Linked DNA regions of Canis lupus familiaris. The main gene of each other region encodes a partner of the protein of the gene in region 2 in a complex. Links are inferred from orthologs where the notes say so. Each region holds a gene or a part of one and is shown on either strand. Other genes may lie near its edges. The genes, in order: LAMTOR3, LAMTOR1 and LAMTOR4.

What was found.
Region 1: LAMTOR1 (region 2) and LAMTOR3 share a complex: the UniProt entries of both Homo sapiens proteins name them as parts of the ragulator complex. The link is inferred for Canis lupus familiaris from reciprocal best matches to the Homo sapiens genes LAMTOR1 and LAMTOR3.
Region 3: LAMTOR1 (region 2) and LAMTOR4 share a complex: the UniProt entries of both Homo sapiens proteins name them as parts of the ragulator complex. The link is inferred for Canis lupus familiaris from reciprocal best matches to the Homo sapiens genes LAMTOR1 and LAMTOR4.

What each region holds. Positions count from the first base shown.
Region 1 is NC_049253.1:18,045,352-18,055,346, reverse strand, and holds the start of LAMTOR3 (ragulator complex protein LAMTOR3), read right to left. Parts: upstream 6,040-9,995; 5' UTR 5,879-6,039; exon of another isoform or gene 5,576-5,878; 5' UTR 5,539-5,575; coding exon 5,530-5,538; intron 2,969-5,529; coding exon 2,934-2,968; intron 1-2,933. UniProt on the Homo sapiens protein: As part of the Ragulator complex it is involved in amino acid sensing and activation of mTORC1, a signaling complex promoting cell growth in response to growth factors, energy levels, and amino acids.
Region 2 is NC_049242.1:26,095,040-26,105,263, reverse strand, and holds LAMTOR1 (ragulator complex protein LAMTOR1), read right to left. Parts: upstream 6,244-10,224; 5' UTR 6,096-6,243; coding exon 6,054-6,095; exon of another isoform or gene 5,979-6,053; intron 2,385-5,978; coding exon 2,239-2,384; intron 1,990-2,238; coding exon 1,912-1,989; intron 1,562-1,911; coding exon 1,435-1,561; intron 1,094-1,434; coding exon 1,001-1,093; 3' UTR 461-1,000; downstream 1-460. Other genes in the region: transmembrane O-methyltransferase, read left to right, coding at 6,444-6,481, 8,651-8,925, 10,198-10,224. UniProt on the Homo sapiens protein: Key component of the Ragulator complex, a multiprotein complex involved in amino acid sensing and activation of mTORC1, a signaling complex promoting cell growth in response to growth factors, energy levels, and amino acids.
Region 3 is NC_049227.1:9,315,645-9,325,669, forward strand, and holds LAMTOR4 (ragulator complex protein LAMTOR4), read right to left. Parts: upstream 6,542-10,025; 5' UTR 6,537-6,541; coding exon 6,492-6,536; intron 6,027-6,491; coding exon 5,946-6,026; intron 4,211-5,945; coding exon 4,093-4,210; intron 3,746-4,092; coding exon 3,621-3,745; 3' UTR 3,369-3,620; downstream 1-3,368. Other genes in the region: TRAPPC14 (microtubule-associated protein 11), read left to right, coding at 1-52, 216-336, 440-587, 729-811, 900-1,063, 1,622-1,776, 2,012-2,205, 2,328-2,481; NXPE family member 3-like, read left to right, coding at 6,978-7,100. UniProt on the Homo sapiens protein: As part of the Ragulator complex it is involved in amino acid sensing and activation of mTORC1, a signaling complex promoting cell growth in response to growth factors, energy levels, and amino acids.

The DNA.
Region 1 (9,995 bases), on a different chromosome or scaffold from region 2:
CATTAAAAATAAGGTTTTTTGTTATGCACTGGGAAGGACTGGTCTCAAAGGTATATTGTTAAGTGAAAAAACATAGTTTTGCATAGTGTGTGTACAGTTAACAAAACTTATATAATAACAAGGGTAGGCACACATATGTATTGTTGCAATGGACTAAATGTTTATGTCACCCCCAAAATTTGTATGTTGAAACCCTAATCCCAATGTGATGGTATTTAGAGGTGGGGCCTTTGGGAGGCAATTAGGATATGGGGTGGAGCCCTCAGAATGGGAATAGTGCCCTTACTTAAGGCTAGAGACTAGCTAGCCCTCCTTCTACCATATGGAGATAGGTGAAGTCTATAATGTGCAACTCAGAAAGCGGCCTTCACCAGAATCCAACCATGCTGGCACCTCGATCTTGGACTTCCAGCCTCCACAACTGTGAGAATTTCACTTATTTATAGGAAATCCAATCTATGGTACACTTTGTCCTAATAGCCTCAACCAAGACCTATGTGTACATGTATAAATATGTGTGCTTATTTACCTGCTTGTTTCTAGGTGCGTAAATTAACTTCGAGGGTAATGGGTGCCTTCAAGAGGGGAACTGTGTGGTGGGGGAAAACCAAACCAAACCAAAACAAACATATGGTCCTAATCCCTTTCTTCTACTATAGAAAGATTTTCATCACACTCTTACAAATACTCTTTTTACAAATATCAACTAGGCTTCTGCTCCTATATTTTGTTGCCAGTGTGGTATCTTTCCAACCCTACTGGTCAATTTTACCATCCATTCAATATGCTAAACCTCCAACGAGGCAGATACAGAAAGCCTAAGTACAGAAAGCCTTCATTTTGTACAGTTCCAATGTGGACTATAGTTACCACAGTTGAATGAAATAATTCCACTCTCCCTGACAGGATGGCTCAAATTTCAGGAAGTACGGTGTATTAAGTGAGTAACGGCATACAATACAAACTCCACTAACTCTTCACACAAATCACTGTGTGAATAACTGTAAATGACAGATGCACACTGTCCCATCACTTCTTTCAAAGTGTGTCGGTGACTGGTCACTGAGCATCTGTTACTTAGTTTATGCAGGGACAGTAAAGCATGGAGTATTATTATCTCCTTGTCTTCCAATGAAAAAGCATATGACATTAAAAAGAAAAACAGAACTGAAATAGGGAACTGGCTAATAAAGATGAAATACAGCAAAGGAAGTAAAGGTGACAATGCTGGAAGTGAAATTCAAATAGAAAGCAAGCACTCATAGATGAGATAACTGGCCAAAAGAATGCTGACATTTTTACTGTTGTGCACAAGACGTGCAGTTAGAGGAGCTTCGTGAAAGTGCACTTACTGACAGAATTTACGAAAGTGGGCTGTGATGAAAAGGATGAAAATCTCCCAGAGGAAGTGATGCTGGCAAAAAACTCTGAACATCAACAGTACAAAGGACAAAATGGTGGAAGCTGATCCACATTTAGAAAGGAGTATGCCAATTTGCCAAGGCACAGAAAAGATGCCTGCTCCTTATCTTAAGGTTTTACCTTTCATATATTTTACTATATATGCAAAGAAGCAGGCACTGTTCAAACCACACTTGAGAAGTTTTCTACAAAGAAACTAACACTGTAATCCTCAGTATTTCCACTGTTTTTAAATTGTGGTGTATTAAACAAATATTGGTTTTAGCATTTGTTTCTATCCCTTCAAACAGAACCAACAAAAGGTTTTAATGTTTTGACAAAATCTTCTAAAGGTCACAAAACAACTGTCATTTTCCCCAGGGATTACTAAAATTGCTTTGGACGGTTTCGGCTTGTACAGTCATTTTTATGGCCCTGAACTACCAAGCAAAGCCTGTTCATCATGTTAAGAACAGAATCAGTGCTCTAGTTTTGCAAGTACTAGAAGGAAGAGAGTGAAAATGAATTCAAGTACTACATTAACATGAAACCAGAAGTAACAGTTACTTAACAGTTCAATAGTATGTTCTTCCTGAATATAGAAAAATATACATAAATCAAACCCAGGAGACAAGGTCATTAATTTCTACCGGTTGCAGCCAGGGTAAAGGCACAAGTCAATAGGCAAACCACGTCAAACAATTCACGCAAAAATCCAAACAAGAGAATTTTTTTTTTTAACCTACCTACAGAAATAAATTGACATCCAAAATCTTTTAAAATTCACACATTTGGAGAATTCTTAAAAAAGTAAAAAAAAAAAAAAAAAAAAAATCTCACTTTTACACCTCAAAGGTCATTCAGTAATGCTGAAATATAAAAATGGATGTTTCAAGTTGTATTCTCTTTCTCATATTCTTAACTCTCAGGTATTACTTTACACTAAGCTAAATGTGAATTTTAATACAACTAAAGTGACAAAGTTCTTTGAACCACAAAAATATCTAAAAGGAAGTTTGCTGTCGTCCACACAGAACCTAATTGATACTGGTGCATCGAATGGACTGGGTGCAGGCAAAAGAAACCTTTGTGATTTTTCCAAGTATGAATGCTGTCTATATCCAGCATTTTTGGGTTATGCAGACTCAGCAATTAGGTCTTAAAAATGATACTAGAGGAAAGGCATGTTCTTAGGGTTTTTCCCCTTAAAACTGCTCTAACTACTTTAAAGTATAATCCAGTAAACTGCTGACAGTATATTTGAAAGAACTCTCAAGTGACAAGAAATCTAACTTCTAGCCCTCTGGCATTCATGAGCTGTTTAACTTCAGACAAGTCACATAACTTCTCTAAGCCTCATATTATTTATCTGCAAATTCAAAGGATATTTCTTGTGCTAATGTCAAATATGTGAAAATGCTAAACAGCAGCATAATATACATACTAGTCTATAATATACAGAAACGAAATGTTACATAAAATCAATATATATTATGCAGAATTTGTTTAATAACAAATTAGTAATTTTTTACCTTGGTAATTTTTTATACAGGAATCGCTTTAGGTCCTGAAAGAGAATATAAGAAATCACATTATAATAATATGCCTTGTACTGGTTCTCTAGTTACTGTCCCACCCACATTTCAGGTACTTTAAATTGTCACTCACATAATCTTTCTTGTGTTTTCTTTCTGATTTTGATACTAGTTGTGTGACTTGGAACAAGTTATTTATTAGCCTTTTTCTCTAAGCTCCAGTTTCATTATTTGTTGAGAAGGGATAAATCACAGAACCTATGTCATAAGACTGTTGTTAAAATTTATTGAGAAGATGTATGTAAACTAATTAGCCTATCTGGACAAAAATATAGCAAATACATATTAGCTGTAAAATTAGATCATATTTTTCATACTATTTTACATCCTGTTGCCACTGTCTTGTTCACTTGAGAATGTATTATAAACATCTTTCTGTGTCCACAGATAAGCCTTCTAATGTCACTTTAACAATCATGGGTAAACTCACTTCTCTGAAACTCCATTTGTTTTCATGACTACAGTAAATGACAATGTGTGTCAAGTGTTAAGCATGGAAGAGAGCTGGGACTAAAGAAATTAAACACTATTTTATTTCCTCTCCTTACACTTTCTCACCTGGTGAATTTCACTGACAATCTAGGTATCAATTATGAGGTCTACCTAGGTAAATCAGGTATCTGTTGTTTTGAACCTCTAATCCCTACTATTCTCTAAACCTGAATGTTCATTTTATTTTATGTTATCATCACCATCTTAACCTCTGCTCTTATCTTAAACACACACATTAAAATACAACTCATAACATTTCTTGTGAAATATAGATTTCCTCAATCTCTTATTGTTTCCACTAATGGCACTACCAATCCCATTATTCAGGTCTGAAACACAGAGTAACATTTAACCCTAATAACATCAATAACATCACCTTTATCACTTCTAAATGATTTGTGACGTCAAATGTTTTTAAAATGATCTCTTCCTCTCCTTTTCAACTGACATTATAATTCAGGTTCACTTTTTTATTTATGACTTGTGCTAGTCCAACTGGTATGCTGGTCTCCCATTTCTATCCCATACAATTCTACAATGCTAGTAGCCATATTATTGTACTTTTTCACCTGGGTTAGAGGTGCCAGATGATTCTGTGTGCAGCCAAGGCTGAGAACCAACATCTGAGTGGCTCTCCACTGTTTAAAAAATTCTCTACAAATTCTTTTAATATTTGAGCCTCTCTACAATACGGTCAACACCTAATTTTACAGTCTTGCTTCCTACCACACCCTCATAACCTCAGCCCCAGCAAAAGTGGACAACTCACAGCTCCTCCACACACATCTCTTTCCCTTTCCTATCTCTCAAACTTTGCTTATACTATTCATTTTAATAATAATTCTTTATTAAAGAATTTTAAGAAAAAATGCTACTTATTTAGAGCTCATCTCAACCACCAAATACTCCAAATAAGCTTTCCTGATAAATACAAACCAGATGTAATCCCTCTCTTCTTCGAATTTTCACACAATAATGTATATACATTTATGATCACCTGCTTACTATACCTTAAAAAGAAATTTAAAAACCCTTAAAGAGAGGAATTATACCTTAATTGTTGTTATTTCACCCACAGCCCTTATTGCAACAACCTTTGCAAGGTGATGCTCAATAGATATATAGTGATTTGACGATGCCTGGAGAATAAGGTCTCAAGAACATAATGACAAACACCCCCAAAAATGAAGTGTCTGTATGTAAAGGCATACAAAGTTCCTAAATATTCAAACACATAATCTTGCAACCAAAAAGAAAAAAAAATCACATTCATATTAATGTTTAATGACCATTTAACCTAGCGGTTAAGAGCATAAACTCTGGAGTCAGACTGTCTGGCTTGGTACCTGGACTCTACAACTTACCAGCCGTGTAACCTGAGGCAAGTTACTTCACCTTTCTATGCCTTGGCATCCTCATCTAGAACACAAGGGTAGTAACAGTGCCTACTTCCTGAAAGTTGTAAGAATTACATACGTTCAGTGTTTCGAAGAATGCCCAGCATGTACAGAAGTAAAATAATAACAGGATGTAAAATATAAAGATTCGTAGTGTTAATTCCCTGTTGTTCCTAGTAACTAGTACAATCAAGTTTCCTAAACTTCGAATTTGGGTTTTGTTGCTGTGCTAATGAGGTTATCAGTCAGAAATCATCTCAAATTGCCTCCAGTGAATCTAGAGACACGTCATGACCACTTTACTGGGAAAAAGTAGATTCACACAGCCGCAAAACGCCATTTAGAAATTCAAATGGTGTTCAGAGCCTCTCTTAACGCCCGCTGGACTGGGGAGTGGCAAGAGTACAATTTTCTCCACCTCAGACACCTTGGCGTCCTCCGCCCTCACCGTGGGCAGAAACTCAGGACCCAGAACATCTCTTCATGTTAGTCACTCACTCCGGAGTCTACAGAAAATACATGGCGGTGGGCGGGTTAAAAGTAAACTCATTTCTGCTCGGGAAGCTCTGCCTCTCCCCGCGCAGTAGGCCTCCAGCAAACTCCCCACCCTCCCCGCTTCCTCTTGTGTGGGTGTGTTAACTCACATCCGCCATGACGAACCCCTTTCTTCCGCAGGATCAATCTCCACTCCTGGAAGAGAAACTCCTGGTGATTCTCCCCTCAAGACCTTCTTCTCACTCTCTTCTCACCTCCAGCCTAATAAGCGGAGTCGGCTCTCATCAAGGCCGGGCAAGGATCCGTGGCTCTAGGACTCGCACCAGGGAAGCCCAAGCGAGGTGGGAGTTCCCAAAGAGCCAGAAGGAAGCTGGGATGCCCTACCTCAGCCCACTCCACCCTCCAGTCGCCGACATGTAGGCCCAAAGGAGAGGGGAAGGCCAGTGCTCTCCCTCTCCGTCTCACCGCTCGCGCCCCCTGCGGGCCCCGGCTGTATACCGAGCGAAGCGGCTCGAGTTACTGGCTTTCTGGGCTGCGGTGCTCTCTCCGCCGTAACTTCAGGGACAGTTTCAAAGACAAGTCTCCCCGGAAAGCCGTCGTCACATGACTTGTGACCTCCTCCGCGCTCCCGGAAGCAGTTCTCTGTCTCCGAGGCCCGAAGACACGGCATTTCCGGGGAGGTGCGAGGGCCTTTGGCGTCGGGCACGCCCCGCCCCTCCCCTCCCGGCCCCGCCCCTCCCCTCCCGGCCCCGCCCCGCCCCGCCCCGCCCCAGCCCTCTGCCCGCTCCCTGCGCCTGCGCAAGGCTTAAGGACGAGGGGCGGCTCGCTGGTGGATGCGGGCTTCGCTGGAAACCGTCGGGCTCTTAAAGAGCCCCGGGAAAAGTATGCGAGACGACGTTGTTGTGTGGGGAGGGTGCGTACATTTCATTAGTTTCTCAAGGTCCGTTATCTTAAGACTTTTTTCATCTTCAGATGAGAGAGTTTGAAGGGGTGTTGCTTACAGGCTGAGCGGCATGCAGGATTCCTGTGCCCTGAAGCCCCTGGTGCCTGGGACGCCCGGCTGGCTGAGTCCATTGAGCATAGGACTTGATCGCGGGGTGCTGAGTTCTAGCCCCACTGGCTGAAGACGGTACTTAAAAATAAAATCTAGAAAGAAAGAAAAGAAAGAAAAAAGGGGAGGGGAGGGGAGGGGAGGGGGGGAAGGTAGGTCCCGGGTTCATAGGTTTCTGACCCCAATGTCCGCCTCTGCCTTGGCTTTTTCAAGAGTGCTCTGCAGGGGCCTGTCTAGATTGAATAGAGGAGCCTTGGGCCTCCTGGAGTTTTCACAGCTGTGCAACTCAACTTGTGCAGATACTGGATAACCTGCCGTCGGCTCATGTTTTAGGAGGCTGTGACTTCTAAGGAGTAACAATATTTTGTTTGGTGCTCGTTTGCACATGTAACAAAAACCTACAATTGGTGGTAAGAAAACGAAGGCTATGGGAACTTGAGGACTCCTCATCTTCAGCTCCCAACCCCTAAAAGTCGGAGGGCGATAGGAATTAACTCTAGCCCAAGACATGGTGGACACTGATTTCCTGGTTATCCTTGAGAAGATGAAATGGTAAACTACACAGCTGTTTAAACTGTTAAAAATGACCAAATTATTACAAGTGAACTTGACAGTTCCATAGCAACTCACATTTTGAAGTTCACGTCCTTTTTCTTATTTGAATTAAACCCTTTGACTTCTTAGCTTCTGGGATGCTGCATTACTTATTTTCGGTCCTCACCCAGTCTAGTTTGCTTCCTGATTCTTTAGATGATGGCATTTAAAGCTTGTCTTTGGTTTCTGTATTTCTCTTTTCCCATTTTCCTGAGAATGAGTCCCAAGTCTACACCTTTCCTCAGAATTCTAGGTTCACATTTTCAGCTGCTTGTGGGTTGTTGGATATTTCTACATACATGTCTTTTAGTCAGCTCTGACTCAAAAGCTCCAAAAATTTCTCATTTAAGCTTTTTTTCCTAATGTGTATCTGTATTGTTTCCATGATTCTACTAGTCAGGTATCATGTTTGGGACTGCTAATCTTTTGTTCCTGATTTTTTCATCTATATTCTTTCAATTCTTCATTCAAACCCTTATTGTATTTAGCAAGATGATATTAATAGCCACTTAGTAATGGCCAGATAAGCCTTCCAAAACAATGCACATTACTGCTGTTCAAAAAATCTTTAGCGATGTATGTACCACTGCAGACTGATAAAGTTGACAGTCTTAGACTGACACAAGCATTCTATTTTACTTCTAAATACATTCTAATGTGAATCCTGTACTCCAGCCAAGTTGATTACTTCACCCTTCCATCACTGGTTATTCTTTCTCCACACTGGTTCTGGAGGGTCTTTTAAACTCAAATGTTTATTTCTCTTGCAGGGGAGGAAGAACATACTTCTACCCTCTTAGGTTTTTATGGCTGGGCCTAAGAATTAAACTGATACATTATCTGGTGAAAAACATACACATTTATTTAATATTCTTATGTGTATATGGCAGTCTTCAGAAGGAAGTAAGGTCCAAAGAAATCATTAGGTCCACAGGTTAAATACCTTTTTATGCAAAGAACAACAAATTGTGGAGATGTGACAAGAAAGGGGGCTTGGGTAAGGGACAGTAAATTGTGGGACAGTGACTCTGAAATATATGCGTGAAACCAATGGCAGATAAAAATTATTTAGTAGACTTGTTTGTACAGGTCCATTTTGGCATCAGTCTTGCCTTTGGTGGTAAGAATGTTCTCTTCCTGGTAAGAGGGCACCTTTCTCAGAGGAAATTTTAAGACCTGCTTTTTGGTAAAAGAGATCAAAGAATCCTTCCTGCATCTGTTTTCTTAGTGCCTTCAGTTCAAAATAATCAATATGCCTAAGTGGCATATTTTGGGGTGGCATGTTCTGCACCCCTTCACTTTCTACCTTAAATATGTATTTATTTTTTGAGAGAAAGAACATACGCATGTGTGCACATGCACAGGGTTGAGGAGGGGCAGAAGGAGAGAGAGACAGAAATAGAGGGAGAGGGAGAAGCAGACCCCCACAGGGAGCCCTATGTGGGACTCAATCCCCCAACCCTGGGATCAGGCCCTGAGCTGAAGGCAGATGCTCAACCACTAATCCACCCAGGTGTCCCAGGAGACAGCATCTTAAGCAGGCTCCATGCCCAGGGCACACAGCCCGATGTAGGGGGTAAATCTCATGACCTTGAAATCATGACCTGGGAGCTGAAATCAAGAGTTGGTCATTTAACTGACTGAGCCACCCAGATAATGTAATATCTACATTAGATATTTATTTATTTATTATTAAAAATATTTTACTTATTTATTCATTAGACACACACACACACACACACAGAGACAGGCAGAGGGAGAAGCAGGCTTCATGCAGGGAGCCTGATGGGGGACCTCCCCCGATCCCAAGTCTCCAGGATCACACCCCGGGCTGAAGTCAGCGCTAAACCGCAGAGCCACCCGAGCTGCCCAACCTTAGATATGTAAATCTTGTTTTCTGACAGTATCTTCTCACATATCACATTCTCTTGAATGCTACTATATGTTACCTAGAATAATTGATATTTGTGCATAATTTATGTGTCATAGTTTTGATTTGTTTTCCCAATGAAACCCTAACACCTAGAAGGCTGGGTCATGTTTTGGATTTTTTCCAGTTTCCTGCAATGACTAAATGTCTTGCATTCTGTAGGCACTCATTCAGCATCTGTGGAATAAAAGTGATTAAAAGAAACTGTTAATTCTGGCCCTGATGACAACTTCTTAGTTGCCCAAGTTTAGAGGCAAATAAAAACATGAACTCTAGCAAGTTCTTTTAATTTCCGGAAGTGCTATTTTTCACTTAACATCCATCCTAATGACTTTGATAAATGATAATTGACCTGGAAAATACTGATTTTTTTTCTTCTTGGGTGGCAAAAAAGGGAGAGCATAGCTTTCTAAACTCTCCAAATATCACTACATCCTCAAATTGAAAGAACTTAGATTTCTAATTTCCAAGTGTGGGGGTTTTTGAATTATGGATCTGTTTTGAATTTACTCACTGCTGCTGGTATAAGACTAGGGAAAATATTTACCAGCCTAAAGGATTATCAGCACTATGTACCAGTTCTCCAAGGGGGTATACCAGCTGATCCCTGAGGTTCAGGAAGAAATTAGTAGAAACTGTATACATACACACACAAAATTTTATCTTACTATTCAAATTTTCTAGTACACAGCATTCTAGAGAAATAGTATACCATAAATATAATACATTAAACAGTTAAATATGTACATGTTGTAAAAGTTCTAACTTTATTGGTTGCATCAAAAGCCTTTGTTTCTGCTTATTTTTAGCTTAAGTTTCTCTTAGCTTTTGTATATGCCTAGGACCTCTCAATTTTTATTTTTTATTTTTATTTTTTTCTTTTTATTTATTTTTTTATAATAAATTTATTTTTTATTGGTGTTCAATTTGCCAACATACAGAATAACACCCAGTGCTCATCCCGTCAAGTGCCCCCCTCAGTGCCCGTCACCCATTCACCCCCACCCCCCGCCCTCCTCCCCTTCCACCACCCCTAGTTC
Region 2 (10,224 bases):
CTCTTCCACTTCAATCAGATCTGAGTACTTCTAACTCTGTTTTATATGTGTGCATTCTGCCTAAGATTTCATTTGATAAAAAGAATCTTCTGCTTGAAAACAGTGGCTTGCTGGCTCTGTATCAAGTATCCTTTCTCTGCCTTTACCCTCTAACCCTGGGCTTATTGGTAATTCCACTGAACCTGAGACAGAGCCCCCAACGGTGACAACTGCCTCAGATTCAGGTTTTTTTCAGCTCTGATAGTAGTCCCATCACCAGAGAAGGGACAGGCAGTCTTATCCAACCTGAGGCTAGCCCAAGCCAAGTTCCAGCTAAAACCTGGGAACCCTGTACCCTTATCTCCTGGATTCCTCTTTGTGCCCCTAGAAGACGTAGCCCCTCCTCCCCCAAATCTCACTGCTCACAGACCACAAATAGTACTATAGGGTGGTGGGCAGGACAGAGGGGCTGCAACCAGCACACAGATGAATACACTTCCTTTATCGAGGGCGACAAACCGAAACGAAACCCCAAAACCCCAAACATGTAAAAACCCAGGGTGCTAGAAATACAAACTCAATTCATTCAAATTCAAGCTCGTCCAGACCCTGGTCACAAACCCTAGTGAGGTGCATGTGAGCACCAGGTCAGGGAGAGGGAGAAGGAGTGAGGCCAAGAGAAAGGGTGGGAAGGGGGCCCCTATAGGCCCCCTAGGGATCACCCTCACACTGGTATCTTCACCTTCCCAGTGACAGTGAAGACCTACCAGGCCCTAATCTTTTGACCCCCATCCCATCCCTGGCCAGGGCTTTGAACACCAGTCCCAAATGGTTCTGCCCTCCCTTGCTCTGTCCTCATTTGCTCAGGCTTCCAGCCTCACTCTTCTCCTCCTCCACACTCTTCTCTGTGATTAGTAGCAGGTTAGGGTACTGTGTGAGCCGCAGTGAGGCTGGGGGCCCAGGGGAGGCAGGGTGGAGACGGGGTGAAGAGAGGAGAAGAGCTGTCCAAGGATCCCTCTCTTCATGGGATCCCAAACTGTACAACCAGCTCCTCTTTTGCGTCCACTCGGATCTGAGAAAGTGCACTGTAGGCATAAGCAGCTATCCTGGAGACCTGAGAGGGACCAGGGACGAGAGCAACAGAGAGACACAGTGAGAAGAGAGATCCGGAAAGCCGGGGAAGGGGGATCGGGTAGCAAGAGAGGAGGGGGTGGTGGGGGACAGGAAGCCAAAGAAAAAGGTAATGACGGGAAAGACAGAAAAGTACAAAGCAGAGAAAGAGAATAAAGGTAGAGAGGGGAAGATACAAAGTAAGGTGAGAGTGAGTGGGGCATTCGAGCTACCAGGCTCCCTAACTCCACTTCCCTACCGCCTCTGAGACAGAGAGGGTGAGCCCTCTGCCACAGCCCAGCTATAAGGGAAGGGTAGGCGCGGGTGGGCTCAGGGGTGGCTCACCTGCTGCAAATCGGAGAAGGGGATGGGCTCGCTGGCCAGCACTTGGTGGGGCTGGCTGGTGAGAGATGGCAGCGGTGGCAGCTTCTTCCAGTGGGTCAGGCTGCTGCTCAGCACAGCCAAGCGGGTGCTGGCCAAGAGGGAGGACGGCGGGGAGCGGTCAGGCCAGTCTGCTCTGCCCAGCCCAGCCCAGCCCAGGCAAGCTTCAGTCCCTTGGGCCAGAGGAGCAGGGTGACAGGCACCTCTGCTCACCACAAACTCACTTCAGGCCCACCTCCCTTGGCCTCCGCACCCTTGAGGGCCATGGGGCAAACAGGGCTGACACGAACATCTGCTGAGGTAGCGGAGAGATCTGTCGTCCATCTCCTGGGCTTCACCCAAACCAGAAGCCTGGCCTGGGGCCCAGGCTCCAAAGCTGGATAAGGGGCAGGGAGGAGCCCAAGGAGCCTGAAGGGGGGACCCAAGCTGGCCAGGTCTCACCTGTACTGCCTTGCCCGATCCATGTACTCATGCTGCTCCATGCCCTGGGAGTCCGCAGCAGACACGTCAATGATGTTGCTTTGGGGAGAGGAGGCAGAGGGAACATGACAGGTGCTTCAAGAGGGACACACGGGATTCACTGCCAAGTGCCAACTCCAGGGCTATCTGACACCACTGGCCCTGCCCGCCCAGTGGAGTAGGACTGGGCCCAGAAGCACCTCTTGCCACTGACTTTGTCCCATCCCCCATGTCCTGGGCCCTGTCCCTCTGTCCATCCTTTAACATGGATAGAGAAGCTCTGCCCAGGCTTGGTCCTGTGGTGCTCACCTGGCTGTTTTAGCAAGGATGGAGGAGAGCAGGGCCTGCTCATCTGTGCGGGTGGGAGGCAGGCTGTGGTAGTTGGGCTCAGCTCCATTGAGGGCTTTGGTAGGGGGGCTGCTAGGGTCCAGCAGCAGCTTCCGTTCCTCTCGGTCCTAGGTGAGGTGATAGGAGAGAAGTCAGCCCTGGACCCTTTAGTCCAACCTGCCTTTCCTGGGCTCTTCTCTCAGCCCAGCTCTGACCCTGAAGCACCAAAAAATACCCTAAGTGCCCAAGTATATGGCATGTCAGCTAAGACTCAGTCCTGCCTGCCCTCAGGAGCTCAGCTGAGTTGGTGGTCTAGAATGAATCAAAGTGGAACCAAGCAGTCCTAGAGGCCCTGAAAAGATGGACACAGGCACAAAGCATATATTCAGTAACAGGTCTAGAGCTTCAGAAAACAGTCCAGCACCTGACAGACAAAGGATACTGGAAGCTGGAAGCCAGAGGAATGAGGTCTAGAAACTGCTGCAGGTCAGGAGCCTAAGAATGGCACTCCTGATCCCCAGGCCAGGCCCTCCCCAGCTAGCTGGCTGCTCCCACGACAGACGCCCTGAGAACCCAGACAGTTCTATTCCTCGTATAATGTCAGGGCAGGAGTCCCAGTCTCTGGGTCACACAGTCCCAAGTGTGCCCCCTTCTTGAGGGCAGGTCCCTTCTACTCACAGGTATTCACTCTCTTCTGATGTCCTCTTTGTATATGACTCCCAGGACTATACTTGGTGCCCCTGGTGAAGCCTGGCCTGACACTGGAGCTGTTCCCTCCCTTGCCAATCCACCACACCTCTGTTAGTGTGGTTTTGCTGATTTTCCGTAGTCCGTGTTACTGCTAGCCTATGCTGATAATCAAACCCCCAGAATTAACCTGGGGCCAAACCAGGTCTCCCTGGTCCTTCACAATTCTGTGTATATTTCCCCTCGTTCTTTCAGTCCCTCGTTCTCATCTACCACAATGTCTCCGGGTACCACCCTGCTTTGAGCCCATTAGCAGCAAATCCCTGCTGGCTTTGTGTCAGCTTCAAATTGGATAAGCAGACTTGCTGGTTATCTATCCAAGCCATAAAGGGCAAGGGTGCCCAGGACAAAGCCAAGGACAAGGGGCCTATCCTGCCTAATGCTGACTCACCGACCCTTAGTGCCAGACCACCAGTGCTCCACTCCAGGCCGCTCTCAGTTCCTACCACAGCCCTTCCCGTGGAAGGCTCCTGACTCCACAACCCTCCTTACACAGGGCCACTTCCTCCCGCCCCACCCTAGGCAGGCCCAGCGTTTTCACAACACTCTTCCTCAAGCCCAGGGTGCCCAAGTGTCCCCAGTTCCCCACAACAGGAGACAAAAGCTGTAGGACTCTGCCCTATCCCCTTAAAAACACGGCCCCTCCCCCTTAAAAACACAGGCTAAGTATTAAAGAGCTAGAAAGACAAAAGGCTTGCCACAGACCGAGCTATCTCACAGAAAAGCTAGCTCCATCACGAACCCTGAGTTTGCTTCCTGGGTGTCATCCTTCCCCCAGCCCTACTCGAGACAGATCTGCCTGCAAGACGGAGCATAAGCTTCCCATCGGGTTGCTCAAGAACAAAGTTGTTTTCTGGAGACCTAGACTCCCAGAGGAGGCTGGGCTACTCCCATCAGAGTGGACAAATAACGTCATCCCACCCTCAACAGGCAACTGCAGCAGGGAAGAGGTTTTCCATACCAAGGGCTGTCCCTGAGTCAGTGTCAACCCAGGAGTCAGGGCTTCACTGTCTGCCCTAGACACATAGATGTGGCTTGCCCATGACTAGCCACCTGGTCTACGGGCACAGGTTTGAAAGAGACAGCTTGGTCCAATGTATAAAGCACATGGCTTGGTATCAAGACACCGTGACTATGGCACTATTCGGCTCTCTGTCCTTGGCTAAATCACTTAGTCTCTCTAAACTTTTTCCTTGCCTTTAAATACAGGACCTGTACCTATACGACAAACGTTTGGCAAAAATCAAATGAAAGAACTATAAAAGGCCTTTGAAAAATGTGTAATAGGTTTCTTTTTATTATAATAAAGGAGTAGAGATGAAAGTGGGAGAGGGACTCTGAGATAGTGAATGGTATGGTATAGACCTTTGCCACACGAAGCCTCAAATCACCCAGCACTGATCAAGCACCTCTCTGGGGGGTTAGAAACAGAAGTGAGAGCCTGTCAAGAAGAAGATGAAATTCAGGAAAGCAGCAAGCCTAGTTCTCCCAACTAGAAGCCAATATTCTTTATTAGAAGACACTAATTCTTCTTGACTCTTTCCTTGCAAGAGTCTGTATTATCCTGCGGGGATGATTTCCCACTACCCTTGTTTTCCCAGTAGACGGGAATACTGTCTCCTCTAAGAGACTGAGGTGAACTGAGGAGTAGTAGGCATTAAGTATGCCTAACATGGGATCCCTGGGTGGTGCAGCGGTTTAGCGCCCGCCTTTGGCCCGGGGCCCGATCCTGGAGACCCGGGATCGAATCCCACATCGGGCTCCCGGTGCATGGAGCCTGCTTCTCCCTCTGCCTGTGTCTGCCTCTCTCTCTCTCTGTGATGACTATCATAAATAAATAAATAAATTTTAAAAAAAAAGTATGCCTAACATAAGGCATAGGAAATAAGATGTGTTCATTGAGTGTTTGGAAAATTAATGAGGCCCAGGAGCTACCCATGCCTCTCAAACAAATGACATTTCCTAGCCTTAAGTCCTTAATCCAAAATAGGTTCATGTGAGTGACTGAGGAAAGACCTACTTCGCAAATACTAGTAATATAGTCCATTTCTGTGACCATCTTCCCCACCAGACTCTGAGCTACTTGCAGAAATCTTTCTATCGTCTCTGCGTCTAGAATGTGTTGAAATGCAGAATCCAGGCTTAGAGGCAATCAAAAAGGTGATGGCAAAGAGCTTGAGACTTCATTCTTGGGAAGGTCTCCCCACTCCTAAAAAGAGATAGGCAGGCAGGGCAGGGTTTAAGGTGTGAGAAGTGAGAATGCACCAAGTGGAAGAGGGAGAATGAAAAACTGCACAAGTTTTCCAGCTTAATCTCTTGTGCAAAGGCATCAGATCTACAAATTCCCAGGACAACTACTCGTCTAGCTGAAGGAACCCTCAGGCCCCAGGCAAAAACTGCACGAGGCAGGCAAAACTGTGCTCCCCATCCCATCTCTCTCATTTAATCCAGCCAGAGCAGAAACCCACTTTGTAACTTCCCAACTTCCCACATATCTCGATGTCATTGTCTCTATTAAATTCTTCACTGGTCAATTCAAATGCCACCTACTTCCAGACGCCTTCTCTGACCCCAAATCGGCAGTGACCTTCCTTCTCCAACCCCAGGGGCTGAGAGCAGACACAGATTCCTGATTCATGCAGGACAAACTAATTCTGAGCCTCAGTTTACCCATCCCTAGAATGGATTCACAAAGCCCGCTCCTACAAGCACAGAAAAAGCACAGAAAACTGATGAGACCATGTTTCCCAGAGACCTAGGCTGAGGATCCTGAAGGCTATAAAGGTTTAAGGGTAGGATAAGATGAAAGGGGTGGGAGCGAGCGGGACAAGCACCTGCCTGCACACCCCAGTGCGGAGACTGTAGAGAAAGCTGGGGCTTTAACAGGGGTAGGAGCCCGGCCGGGCGTCCCCTCTGTAATCTGTCCCCTCCCGGCCGCCGTACTATATGAGCCCCGCAGTCCTGCTCCCGCTCTTCTGCAGGTTTTCTTCTGAGCCCGACGCCCCAGTCTCGCAACCCTCATTCCCGAGCCTCGCCCGCCGCGGCCGCACCTGGTCCGAGTCCTCGTTCTCGCTGCTGTAGCAGCACCCCATGGCCGGGGTCGGGCCGGGCGCTCAGGCCGAGCCGAGGAGGGACGGCGTCCGTCGGGAGCCCTTCCGGTCACATGACCCGTGGCTACAGCCAGCAGGCAGCCACCCTCCTCCTCGCCTATCCCTTCCCAGAGCCGCGCCGCGGCCGCCGCCACCCCGGCTTCCGGCCCCGCCTCCACCGCGTGATCATCGCCAACCAATGGGAAGGCTCGCTTCGCTTGACAAGACTCGAGGCACATGATGCGAGAAAGGGAGGGGCGGATCACATGACTTCAGCCTCTGCCCAGTTTCAGAGATCGAGGCTTCGTCCACCGGCTCTGGGGGCTCTTCTCTGCGGCCGGCCCTCGTGCTATGTGGTTGCGTGGCTGCCAAGCTACCTCTCTGGGCCAGTGAGTGAACTTTTACCAAAAGCTATTATGATTTGGTCTCCTAAATGCCATGCGAGGGGCGATTGGAATTGACGCCCTACGCTTCTAGAGCACACAAGTCTCTGTGTACATTGGATCCAGATGCCTAGCGTCCAGTTGGGGGACACATAGAGTGTGGCACCCAATGGAGTTCTCACCCTGGACTAAGGATCGACAACTTACTGGAAGAAGAGCCCTTACTCCTACACAAACCAAGGCAGAGCAGAGCTCAAACCTGGAAGAGGTAGAGGCCACCTCACGGTCTTTGCCCTTAGGCACGTCTCTTCAATCTTGCTTGGTTTTCTTAAGCAACCATAGTAATCTAACACACAATGCTCTTTTCTTAGAACCATCCTATATTTTCCCTTGGACGCTGAACACAGGTCCACGTCTGTCATTCAAGATCTTGCAGAGTCTCTTACCTGCCTCCCATGCCAGCATCTGAGTCACGGGGGCTGGTGGTGGTGCAGGAATCGGAGTAATGCCTCGCCAGCCAGCCGTAAGAAAGAAAATATTTGCAGTTTCCTGACAGACCCTCTGGACTTTCCACACGTGGCCTTGTACACTGTCTCCCTACTAGGTGTCTCTTCTGTCTTCAAGCCTCACTACAAACAGTAACCTCCTGATTGCCATCTCCAATCCCATTATTTGGGCATCCTCAGCTCCCTGTGCTTAATCCCTATCCCATACGGATTTCTTCATTTATTGAATCAAGTAATTATCTGTAATGTGCCACACAATGTTCTGTCTAGATATACAGAGGTTCACAAAAAAGCCTAAAGTGTATCAATGGAGTACTGGATTATGTTTTATTCTCCTTTTCTGGATCAGTCTCTTCCTCCAAACTTGGGAGTTCCTGGAGGAAAGGAACAAGATCTGAACCCTCTCTGCTACCCACACCCTGGCATTTGCTTAGACAAAATGTCAATTGAATTTTGAATTGAGTAAATTACAGACTCCCATTACCTTGGGTCACACCATGTCCCCTGTCCTGGGAGGGGACATACAAGGAGTTAGAGGAGAGGTCACTGAACCCAGTAGCTCTTAATACCCCTCAGATCAAAACCCTGAAATTCTGTAAATTCTTACATGGCTTGAGAAGGGTAAGAGTCAAACCCACCTTGTTCCTGCAGTAACTTGAACTGCAGGTCTCAGGTGACAGCAGCAGCTTCTGCATCAATAATTGAGAGCAGGTCCAGCCTGCCTCAGGGTTCTCTAGCCCCAAGGACTCCCCCTCCTGTCCTATGCTCTGATCTTCCCCCAGCCGGAGCCTCCAGCCCAGGTAAGCAGGGCTCTTGAGTGTGGGTTCCCAAGCATACCAGTTCAAACTCACTATCACTCACCTACTCACATCCACTTTTACACTCTTGCTTTCAATTTTAGTCCCCACCATCACCAGAGGCCTCACAAGGGGCAGATGTGGAGGAAAGGGAGGATCATCCAGGGTATGCAAGAGGAAAGAGCACTTATCCCCCATCGGGGCCCTGGAAGAAGAGGCTCGAGCTTGGGGGGACAGTGGGTGCTGTATGTGTACACGCTTGTAAAAAGAATTCTGAAAGAGAACAGAAAAGGCAAATGCAGGGGAGGAGGCATGAAAGGACTGGAGAAGAGACAGAGACTCAGGGACTCCTCCCAACCTCAGGAAAGAACAGATGGAGGGGTGGGAAGGAATTGCATCCTAACACCCTATGGAGTGTTTTGATTGCCTTTTACTGAGGCAGCACACAAGGCCCGAAGGGGTTTCTGACTACAAAGTTGTGCTCTTTTGCTCCACATTAATGGGTCAGAGGAGACAAGGCAGAGGGGAGGCTGGGTGGGGGATATCTCAGGGGACTATGGAAAGTGGTCCAGAAGAGGTGACTAAAGAGATGAGGGGAAACGGATGGAAGAAGCACGGTGAAGATAGGACCAAGGGGCAGAAGTGGGAAGAGGTGGTTTGGGGATGGATGCAGAACACAGACTAGCATGAAGTCCTTGAAAGTAAGTACATGGTTTTGGCATTGAACCAATTCAGATTCAAATCCCCATTTTGCTGTGTGACTATGGGCAAAAGACAGCCTTTCTGAGCTATGGTTTGTAAAACATAGGGACAATTAATACAAATGACAAATGGTGGATGTGGGTTTCCCTCCCTGCCTCTTCTCACCTCAGAGCCCTGGTGGGGACCATGTCCCCCGCCATCGCACTGGCCTTCCTGCCACTGGTGGTGACATTGCTGGTGCGGTACCGGCACTACTTCCGACTGCTGGTGCGCATGGTCTTGCTGCGGAGCCTCCGAGACTGCCTGTCAGGGCTACGGGCTGAGGAGCGGGCCTTCAGCTATGTGCTCACCCACGCCCTGCCTGGGGACCCCAGTCATATCCTCACCACCCTGGACCACTGGAGCAGCCACTGCGAGTACCTGGGCCACATGGGGCCTGTCAAAGGTCAGTGTTCCTTACCCTTCTGCTCCAGGCAGCACCCCTAAGATGGTAAGGAAGGTCTGGGACCTACCACTGCCTACTGGGTGCATTGGGCAGGTTCCTGATCCTCTGAGTCTCTCTTTTCTCCTCCACAAATGAGGGGGCTGGGCAAAGCTATTCATTCATCTAACAGTTATTGCCACCACTTTTGTACTAGGCCTGTACTAAGTGCTGGGTTGGAAAAGGAGGCAGAGGCCACACAGATGAATCAACCACAAATGTTGGCCTCAAAGGGGACAGTACAAAGGGGACAACCATCTCAGCATATAACTCATAACTTTGTAATTATCTGTGCTAAGTATTTCTCCCCCAATCACGGAGGCTCCTACATCCCATTCAGAGTAATGCCTGGCTTTGTTGGAGTCCCAGGTCCTGGCACAAGTGATTTTACTTTATTTCAATTTTTATTCTATTATTTTATTTTTAGATTTTATTTGAGAGTGTGCACAAGTCAGGGAGAGGGGCAGAAGCAGAGAGGGAAGCAGACTCCTTGCTGAGCGGGGAGTCCAACTTGGGGCTCGATCCTAGGACCCCAAGATCATGACCTGAGCTAAAGGCAGACACTAAACCGACTGAGCTGCCTGGGCACCCAGCACAAGTGCTTTTAGAGTCTGAAGAAATTTTTCCAATTCCAAGGTTAGAAAGATATTCAATGAACAAAATAAGAGGAAATGAAACTGGATGTTCTAGCAACAGTCTCTCAGAAGCCTGTGGCTCTTTCTGTTTGAGCCCTCCTGGAGGAAGCAGACCCTAGAATTGCTTTCAGCTTGGCCAAGTAGATAAGGACAGGGGAGGGGAAGGGCAGAGCCAGCCACATACACTGGTGCAGCATGAAAAAATGAGCCAGCGCTGCCTTGGTTGACTTTGGGCACACTGTTTGGGAGGGCTGTGGTAGAGGCTACAGATGGAAGAATGGAAAAGTTGGATAGGATCAGGTCCAGGAAGGTCCTGAATGTCAGGCTAAGGATCTCAAGTTAAATCTCAAAGGCCTTGAGGATCACAGGAACTAAGGAGCAACAGGGTCAGATTTGTTTGTTGGAAAGATGCCTAATGGCTGGTATGAAGTGAAACTGAAAGAGGGGAAGGGAGAACCAGTGGGGCAGCTAGAGCTGTAGTCCGAGAGGAGACCCCAGCTGGTTGGGGCTGCAGTGAGGCAAGTGGGCATTCGAGATCCTTTTCTATCAGGGACCCCAAATCCATCTCCCATGTCTGCTGTAACAGCCATCTTCCCCTCAGGTCAGATCCTGACGCGACTGGTGGAGG
Region 3 (10,025 bases), on a different chromosome or scaffold from region 2:
CTGAAATGCCGCCAGTTCACTGTGGCTGGAAAACACTTGACCGTGCTCAAGGGTGAGCAGATCTGTGTAGCAGCAAGGGTAATGACGGGGGGGGGGGGGGGGGGGGGGGTGTCAGTTACTCTGAGCACGCTGGTGGGGATCGGTCCATTTTGGAGGGGTAAAGCTGCGGTTTGAGGGGCCCAGGTACTCTTGGCTGAGCTTGTTACCTCCCACAGTGCTGAACAGCTCCTCCCAGGAGGAAATTTCCATCTGGGACATCCGTATTCTCCCAAACTTCAATGCTAGTTATCTACCTGTCATGCCCGATGGCTCTGTGCTCCTAGTGGACAATGTCTGGTGAGGTTCTGAGGAGGGGCACAGCCACACAGTGGGGATGGGGGCAGGGTCAAGGGCTCTGGCATGAAAAGATCAAGCTCTGTCCCTCTTTCTGCTGAACTAGTCACCAATCTGGGGAAGTCTCCATGGGCTCCTTTTGCCGGCTCCCTGGTACCTCTGGCTGCTTCCCCTGCCCGCTTAGTGCCCTGGAGGAACACAACTTCCTGTTCCAGCTGAGAGGGGGGGAGCAACCCCCTCAAGGGGCCAAGGAGGTGAGTATAAGAGGCTGGCATGCTCAAGGAACAGGGTTAAGAAAGAGCAGTGGGCAGGAAAGGCCGGGGGGGTGGGGTGGGGGACAAAAGATGGAAAGGAACTGTAGATATAGATGATGTTCTCTTTTGTCTCTCCCACAGGGCCTAGAGGTTCCCCTGATTGCTGTGGTTCAGTGGTCTACCCCGAAGCTGCCCTTCACCCAGAGCATCTACACCCACTACCGGTGAGTTTGTGGGACTCCCCACAGGGCACCACCCTCCTGTTCACCGTGTGACAACACACACCCTGCTTCCCTCTCACACTGCTTCTAGCCTGCCCAGCATCCGCCTGGACCGCCCATGCTTTGTGATGACTGCCTCTTGTGAGTCCCCCGTTCGGACTTATGAGCGGTTCACTGTTACCTATACACTGCTCAACAATCTCCAAGACTTCCTTGCTGTGAGGCTTGTGTGGACCCCGGAGCATGCACAGGCTGGTAGGTGGGCTGTTGGGCTCTGGGACCTAGTCCCAAAGGAAGGGAAAAGAGGTCATGGAGGTGGGTGGCTTGCAGCAGGCTGCTTCGGCTCTGTACCTGGGTGGTCTTCAGAGTGTCACGTATGGAGAGTTTGAAGAACCAGCCAGGCAGTGATTTAAGGGCACTGACCCTGGATCTGGGCTCCCTGGCATGTATGATTTCTACCTCTCGCATTCACTAGCTGTGTGACCTTAGGTAGGTTACTTAATCTCTCTGAGCCTCACTCAGATTCCTCTTCTCTAAGATGGGGGGAAATAATATCTCATGGGGTTGTTTTGGTGATTTAACAGTTTAACAGAAGTGAAGTGGTTAGAATAGACCTCAGCACACAGTAAGTATTAGGTGTTAATTTATGAAGAAGTTGAGCAAAAGATGACATATACTCAGTTTACTCCACAGAGTGGCTCTGAGGAGTGCTCATGAAAGCCCTTTGTGAACTGAGAAGTTCTGTACAGATGTGTTTATTGGTGGCTGGTTCTGTCATTTACAACTCCCCCCTCCCCCGCCATCCCCCTCCAGGAAAGCAGCTGTGTGAGGAGGAGCGACGGGCCATGCAGGCAGCCCTGGACTCCATTGTCTGCCACACGCCCCTCAACAACCTAGGCTTTTCCCGGAAAGGCAGTGCGCTCACCTTCAGTGTGGCCTTCCAGGCTCTGAGGACGGGACTCTTTGAGGTGGGCTGGGGAGGGGCTGGACTGTATGTGATGGGTTGTGTGGAAGGTCGGGGTGGGAGGAGTCAGAGCCACCAGCCTCTGTGGAAGAAATACCATGGGTGGCACTGAACAGCCACGCAGAATGAAGGTGGAGTTTAGATCCAGCATTGGCAGGGCAAATGGGGAACCTGATTTGAAAGGAAGGCTGGGGCCTGGAGGCTGAGCTGGAACACTGACCTGTGTCTCCCCTCGCCAGCTGAGCCAGCACATGAAACTGAAGCTGCAGTTCACAGCCAGTGTGTCCCACCCTCCGCCTGAGGCCCGGCCCCTCTCTCGAAAGAGCAGCCCTAGCAGCCCTGCTGTCCGGGACCTGGTGGAGAGACACCAGGCTAGCCTGGGCCGTTCTCAATCCTTCTCTCACCAACAGCCGTCCCGCAGCCACCTCATGAGGTACAGAAGCAGGGGAGGTGTGCCATTGGTGCCACTGTACCGGGTAGAGGCCAGGGTTGGGGCAGGAGCAGATCAGGGTCCTGGGGTGTGATCCGGAGCCCACAGCCTCTGCCTTCTCCCAGGTCAGGCAGCGTGATGGAGCGCAGGGCCATCACGCCTCCTGTGGCCTCGCCTGTGGGCCGCCCCCTCTACCTGCCCCCGGACAAGGCTGTGCTTTCTCTGGACAAGATTGCCAAGCGTGAGTGCAAGGTCCTGGTGGTGGAGCCTGTCAAGTAGCACCATGCAGGCTCTCCTCCCTCTTACCTCCCAGAAACCAAAAGGCCCTGGAGAGGGTCCTGGCTCCAGACTCTGCCTCCCCTGGGATGCCTTCCACCGTGGATGAGGAGGCCCAAGAAGGCCACCTGTCTGTGTCTGCTGATGAGGGACGAGGGGAGAAGCTGTAAAATGGGCGGGTACGGCTACAGCACTAAGCCAACAGTATTTCTTCATCTCCCTTGGGGGGGGGGGGAAGGCCCCACCCCGAGGCCAGGGTAGGGACTTCAAGAGCTCCCTTGCCCCCCTTCCATTCCCCCCCCCACCCTGTACCCTGGTTCTAAGTTTACAAAGTGTATTCCTTGTTCCTATTAAGTTGTCTCTCCTGCCTCTGACATTCCCTCCCTCCCACCCACCTGCAGGGCTGAGATTAGAGGGTGGTGATGGTAAAGGGACCCGGACAATGACCCTCCTGTCTCAGGGGAAAGGGGAGATAGCCAGGTGGCCTCCTCCTGCCCCTTATGTTTACGTTTGCAGCCTGAAGCACTTTAAGTTGTGTGGGGTTTTCTTTTTTTTTTCTGTTTGTTTTTTTTAATCTATCTGTTCCTGTAACTTATTCTCCAATTACTGCTTCCAACTGAAATAAGACTATTAAATGCCTGTTCAGGAGGGGGAAGAATGATTTTCATTTGTGTGTTGGCAGCAGGAGCAGAGACCCCAGAGGCTCAGAGTGGTTCCCTTCAGCATGCACACCAAATAGCTCCCCTCAACCCCCTTCCTACCATATTATCCTCTGATTGCCAGTTTTATATACACTACCCCTCTGGTCCAACATACATGACTGTCTCCCTAGAAGATGGAAGACAGACTTGGGGTGTAACGCCCCTCATACACACATTCCTAGGCCTGGGAACATCAGACTCATGTTTTATTAGGAGGGAGGGAGGGATGGAAAGAAGAGGGAGATCCCCTTGCCCTCACTCTCCCCGACACAGTGCAAAGTCCCCAAGCCTCTGCCCTTCGAGGGGAGGGGAGGGGAAGTGGGTGAGCAGAAAGCCTTAGTTCTAGCAGCAAGCCAAGAAAAAGGTGGAGAAGGTTTGCGTCTTCCTCATCGAGGAGGCTCATGGACCCAATCCACCTCTGCCCCTTGCCCTCTGGCAGGCTCAGACGTCAACAGGCTCCCGGCCTCGGTTCTGCCTCTTCACCACAAATACCCTCTGTCCTGACACGGTCACCAGCAGCGTGTGTTCTCCAAAGACCACTGGAGAGGAGACACACCTTCCCCCACCCAGGAGAGGGAAGGGAGCACAGAGTTAGTGGGGTACAACGGCCTCTACTGGGTCACATCAACTGGTGGGATCAAAAGCCAAAGGCATTTTTGATAGTTGAAGGCTCAAAGATTTGAAGATAGGAGGGCTCCATTATGTCTCCTTCCTTCTCTTGGTTTCTCACAGTTATGATGCAGGGATGAATCCCACCCAAAGGGAAGAAAGTAGCCAGAACCAGGGACCCCAGGGGGAGATGGTGGGAGGTTGGCAGGAGACAGGTGTTTTTTTCCCCCTGAGAAGAGAAGCCTCTGGGATCAACCCCCACCCCCTCCCACCACCACCACCAGGGGCAGGGGCTGAGGCTCACCGGACAGGCGCTTGAAGGGTATATTCGTGCTGTGGTGCAGCCGGAAACCACAGGCTGTGCTGACCAGCTCAGAGATGGCACTGGCTGCCTGCTCGTCATTCTCTAGATCCCCAGATGACTGCATGCAGAGGGAGGAGGAGGGATGGCAGAAATTAGGGAACAGAACTGGGAAAGAATTCCAAGAACAGTCACTTTGGCTCTAGTGTTTGTAACCTCTCCCTCTCAACTTCCTAGTACCCCTAAGGTCACCCCCCATTTTTGGAAAAACAAACCCAAAACTTTCCTATGATATTGTTGCTCCTATTGAGGCCATCTTGTTTCTCATCCTTACAATATGGGGCTTCCCCCTGTGAGCAGTGACTCTCATTCATTTCTTTACTGACCATTCTTTCCTAATCCCTGAAACTTGATTTCTTCCCTTGTCCCCACTTCTTAATAAAACCATTCTCAAACATCTGTGCTCATCCACCACTGACTAGTTCAAGTCTCCCTCTTTTCCTCAGTCTTTCTATTTGTTGCCCTATCTGCAGAATCTGAAACATAACTGAACATACTTTTTGTCCTTGAGCCCCTCCCTACTACCTAGCCCTTGGGTAATGATATGACTGTGACCTAGGCTTCCTCTTTTCTGGTAACTGTCTCAATTTCCTCTCCCAACCTCTTCAACATGGACCTCCCAACTAAGGAAGTGCCCTTTGTTCTCTTAGACATTCCACACTTCAGTTTTCTCATCTGTAAATTGGGACAAGTTCCTATCCATGGGCTTATTGAAGATTACATTGAGATATTGGCGAGATGCTTAGTTCCTAGCAATGTACTCTAACTGCTCTCATTCTATATCAAAATATCTAAAGTCAAGTCATCAAAATTCCCCTTTATCTCACCCCCTCCAAAATCAACTTCCTTTCTTAATTTCCTCTTTGTTAAGATACCATCAGTCTAGGCTTGGGCTCAGTCTTACTACATGAAGAAGTATCTCTTCTGTTACCTATCTCTAGTCATTACCAATATATATTGATTCTTCCTTTAAAATTCCTTCTCTCCTTGCTCCTTCTCACTGCTGCCAGACATGTCTCAGACCTAGATTTTCACAGCAGGCCCCCTACTTCTGAATCCCACCCCTCCCAGCTTATCTTCACACCTAATAGAAGAATCTTGCTCAACTATTTCCTTAACCTACATTTCTATTCGAACCCCTTCAAAGCTCCTATTCCCCTCACGATTAACCCAGTCTTGACACCAACCCAGTCTTGAAAGTCCTCCACAATGGAATCTTTTATTCCAAATCTCTTCAACACAAAGCCACCACTCCAACCCTGAGTACTCTCTTTTTCTGTTCACTATGTATCCTTTAAGCCCAGCTGAATTCTTACCTCCTCTAAGAAAGTCTCCTTGTCATAATGTATAACACATGGGTTGAATCTTTCATTTTTCTGGTCTCCTTCACTAGTCTTTACCACTTGCATTACTTTCAACTTGTAACCTTAAGCCATGCTCTCCAGCTCCATTGAAACTTCCAGAGAGCTTAACACTATATTGCACCATGGAACAAAATACAAAACCTCTTACATAAATACTAACTAAAGACAATTCGAGAAAACTTGGATAATATATATCAGTTATCAACAAAAGACTATTTGTCTGACTTTGGTAAAGTCAGTAAACCTCTTTCACTCTGAAGTACCAGACTACGATTCCAGAGATTTATTTGATTGGTTACTGAAAGCTTACTACACGCCCAGCATGATAGCTAAGACTGAGACTAGAGACAACTTAGGCTAAACTGGGCTATGGTAAAAGGGATCACGGGGCCTTGTGTCCATGGGGGACCCCCTCCCTTGCCCAGAACGCACCGCCAGCACTGCGCCTTCACTCAGCACCAGGTAGCCAAGCTGGTCTGGGATTCGCTCCAGCCCCTGGGTCAGTGCAGAAGTCTAGAGGGTAAAGATGCAATTAGAGAAGCATACCAGGATGGCCCTAGATGCCCTTCACTTCCAAACCCAAGGCTTTTTGACAACTTCCCTACCCCCCGCCCCCGCCCCGCCCGAACCTTCTCTTTCCCCAACCAGGGCCCTTCCAGACCCTCTAGCCTCTACAAAGCCTTCAACACTGATCTTAGGCTTCCCATCTTCCTCACCCTCTGACCCTGGGCTCTCTTGGCCTCTGTAGATCCGCTGTTCCCTTCCCCCACCCTGCCCCATCTCCAATTCCCCTGGTGGCCCGTCCCACCCCCGCAGACTACTCCCCAGCGCCCATACACCCTCGCACAGGTCCCTCCTCAGCCCTCTACGTCGCCTCCCCTCCCATCTCGATTCTCTCTGCCTCTCGGGTGGACAGGAGGTAAGGGCGGAGTGTAGGCCCAAGTAGGGGTAACCAAAGAGATTGGGGAACAGACATACAGAACCCCTAGCGCGTACTCCCGCGCATGCGTCCTCACTCACCATCGCAGCCTTAGGTGCTGGGGGCGCTCCCTGTCAGATAGGTAGCTTCCGGCTCCAGACCCAGGTCACGTGCTTCCACAAGGCGGTTCCCTCTACCCTGGCGCTCCGGAAGTTAAGCCCCGCCCCCCAAAGTGCGGATTGGAACATGGCTACATCATCAGCCTTAATCTGCCAATGCGAAGCGCCGCTTCCCGTAGACGCAAGCGGATTGGTCTCAGGCCCTCCTTCACAGCCATCTCCCAGCCCCTAAGCCCCGAGCTCGGGGAGGGGGCGTGTCGGCGGAGGGAAGGGCCTGGAGGGGCGGGGCCGGAGGGAGGGGGGGGCCGGAGGGAGGGGGGGGGACTGAGGGTGTGCGCCTGCGCGCAGAGGGGCGAGCGTTTCTCCTTTGGCCGCGCTGCTCCTCAGTGTGACCACGAGCGAGAAAATAAAGTGAAATGACGTGAAATGCGCGAGAAGAGCTATTCAAATGCTACTCATATCCCTATTCTAGGCAACTATCTCTTTAGGACAGGGATTTGTTCCCAAAGCTGCTTTCCCTCCCGAGATTCTGTAAGGAGCGGTGTGACGGTGAGTGAGTTCCCCGCCTCCTCCCCTCAGGCTAGGCAGCCGCGGAGCTAAATATTCTCTGCCAGGAAAAATTAGAAACAGGACTCTGAAGTCATTTTTTTAAATACCCGAGTGTCATCTCGGAAACTTGTTTTAAGTAGTTTCTAGGCCCGCGCTACCAAAGTGACAGAAAGTGTTGGTGAGGTAGAACGAAGGCTGGTTCTCGAAATAGTAAACACCTCGTTTGGCGAAGGTGTAGAGAAATTGGCGCCCGCCTGCCTCGCTAATGGGGCTGTGAAATGGTGCCGCTGCTGTGGAAAACCCATCAGCGGTTCCTGGAAAAGTTCAGTCCAGAGTTAGCTCCACTCCTAGATGGACTCCTGAGAGAATTGGAAACATGTCTATGCAAAAAACGCTTGCACGTTTTTTATGTTCATAGCAGCATTAGTCCTAAGAGCCGGGAGATGGAAACCACCCAAATATCCATAAACTCAACAACAGAGAAATAAAGCCTAATATAGCCATACAATGGCCTTTCATCCAGCTGTAAAAAGAGGAATGAAGTATTGATAAGTCCTACAAGGTGGATAAACCTCGAAAACATTACTAACTGAAAGCAGTCAGATACACAAGGCCACACAGAGTATGATTCTATTTCTGTGAAATGTCCAACCCAGTCAAATCCATAGAAACGGGAAGCAGGTCTCTGGTTAAGAGAGGCTAAGCCCTGCTCACAGGCACACTAGCTAGCAAGTGCAAGAGCCAAATTCCAGTTTAAGTTTGCTGACACTGAGTTTGATGCTTTTTCCCATTGCTCCATCGGCCAACTACATTTATTATTACTATTTAAGTTACTACTTAATATTATCTCAAAAATTCCCTTTTTTTTTAATTTTACTTGATACAGAGGAGCCCTTTGCAGGACAATGCTCATTAGCCATCATCAGAATTGTTTTGTTTTTACAAATCGTACTACTCTTGTAGAGAGCACAGTTTCTCCTTCTTTCATTCAACCAGTATTTGTTGAGTACCTTCTGTGTACCAGACACTCTTCTTGGAATTGGAGTCAGATATTATCTATCTATCTGTTTCAAAACGATAAAGATCAAGGGAATGATTTTTAAAAATTAGAGTAATGGCCACTTCTGAAATTGGGTCAGGGATGGGATAGAAAGAGATACAAAGGGTTTCAAAGTGTTGATAATTGCTGTAGTCTGAATACTTGTGTGCCCCCACCCCTAAATTCATATATTGACTCTGATCCCTATTTTGATGATATTTGGAGGTTGGGACTTTGGGAAACTACACACTCCCTTATTTTTCCCCAACCTGATCCCTCCCAACATACACACTTTGTTCCAATGGGGTTAAGGAGCTCATATCTCTAGTGTAGCACTGACTATACTTTACTACTACTCGTTGCCAGCCTAGCTTACTTAGAAGCTGAGCAACACGGGGTCAGGGCTGTGATGTTTTCAACACTTTATTCCCAAAGAATATGACTACTACCCCACAGTCTTCAAAAAGTGCTGGTTGAATCAAATGTCAGGCTTAAGAGCCAGGAAAGGCAGAGTGAAGGTTGGGAAGTCTTTTGATGGGTATATGTAATTTAGACTGATGTTTGACCAAACCACTGGATCCTATAGCCTAGCCAAGTTGACACAAAACCCAAATAGGGTGGGTGCCCCTTTGCTGTGACAGTCTCTGTGGCAGCATTCATACCTGGGCCTGAGTTGTGGGTAATCCTTTCCCACTTGCTTTCTCCTGCCTCCACGCCGGAGTATTATGGGATAACTGAGCAAAGGGGAAGGAATGCGCTTTGTAAGTGCATATCTTAGGGGAAGCATTTGTGAGCCAGAAGGGGAGGAGGCATTTGAGTGTCTCGGGCCTGGCAGTCTGTGATTGCTGGGAGCCCATATAATGTTGGAGAGTCCACTTCCTTGGTTTTCTGTGGCCAAGAGGCAACAAAGCCCTTCTAACACATGCAGGCTCTCTCAAAGCTCAGGCCACTCCATTTCTCAGATTTAGTGATATGTGAAAAACCAAAGAGAAGCAAAATCAGGGTTCCAAAATTGTGGCATGATTGAAATGGTTACATTTAACAAATGGATGCTTTTAACACAGAGATATTACAAAGCTTTATGGTTTTGACAGTCCTGCAATAATTATCAGGTTTACAAAGCTAATCTGTGAGGCAGAATGCTGTAATGAGACACCAGTTAAGTTGTAATCTGTAAGTCTCTTTCTTTTCTTGTGGGCATGTCTCTGGCTGAATATATAACCAACTCCCTTTGGAAGGAATGTTCAAAACCTACATTTGAGGCTTTTGTGAATGTGAAGCCCAAGCAAAAAGTCCCTCTCCATCTGGGCTAGGCTCCAGATACAGCTTTAACATACCTCAATTTCTGGTTATTTTTATGACCTTAAGGAGGGGGTCCCAGACAGAATTAATAATGTGGTCATGAGTCACATCCTCAGCCCTGGCCTTATACTTTTTTTCCAGTTATAGATTCATACTCAACAGAATTTATATTTATGTCTAGGATTTAAGTTTTTCCTCTAGGGCTGGAAAGGATTAATTCATTCATTATTGAAAGCTACTATGCTATACCAGACACTGTTCTAGAGGTTGTGGGTAGAACAAAGATCTCTACCCTCATGGAGCTTATACTCTAGTGGATGGAGACAGAAAAAAAGCAATACATAGAATAAGAAATTTAAATAGTGTGTTAGAAGATGATGAGTGGTATGGGAAAAAAATCATCAGAGTAAATGGGGGCCAGAGTGAAGGTAAGAGAGAACATGCTGCAGAGTTAAATAGGGTGGTCATAGTCAATGGTAGGTCTCTCTGAGATGTTGAGAAGACTCAAGCAAAGACTGGAAGGAGGTGAGGGAGTCAACCTGGAGAAACCTGAGAGTGAATATCCATGGAGGTAACTTTCGTGA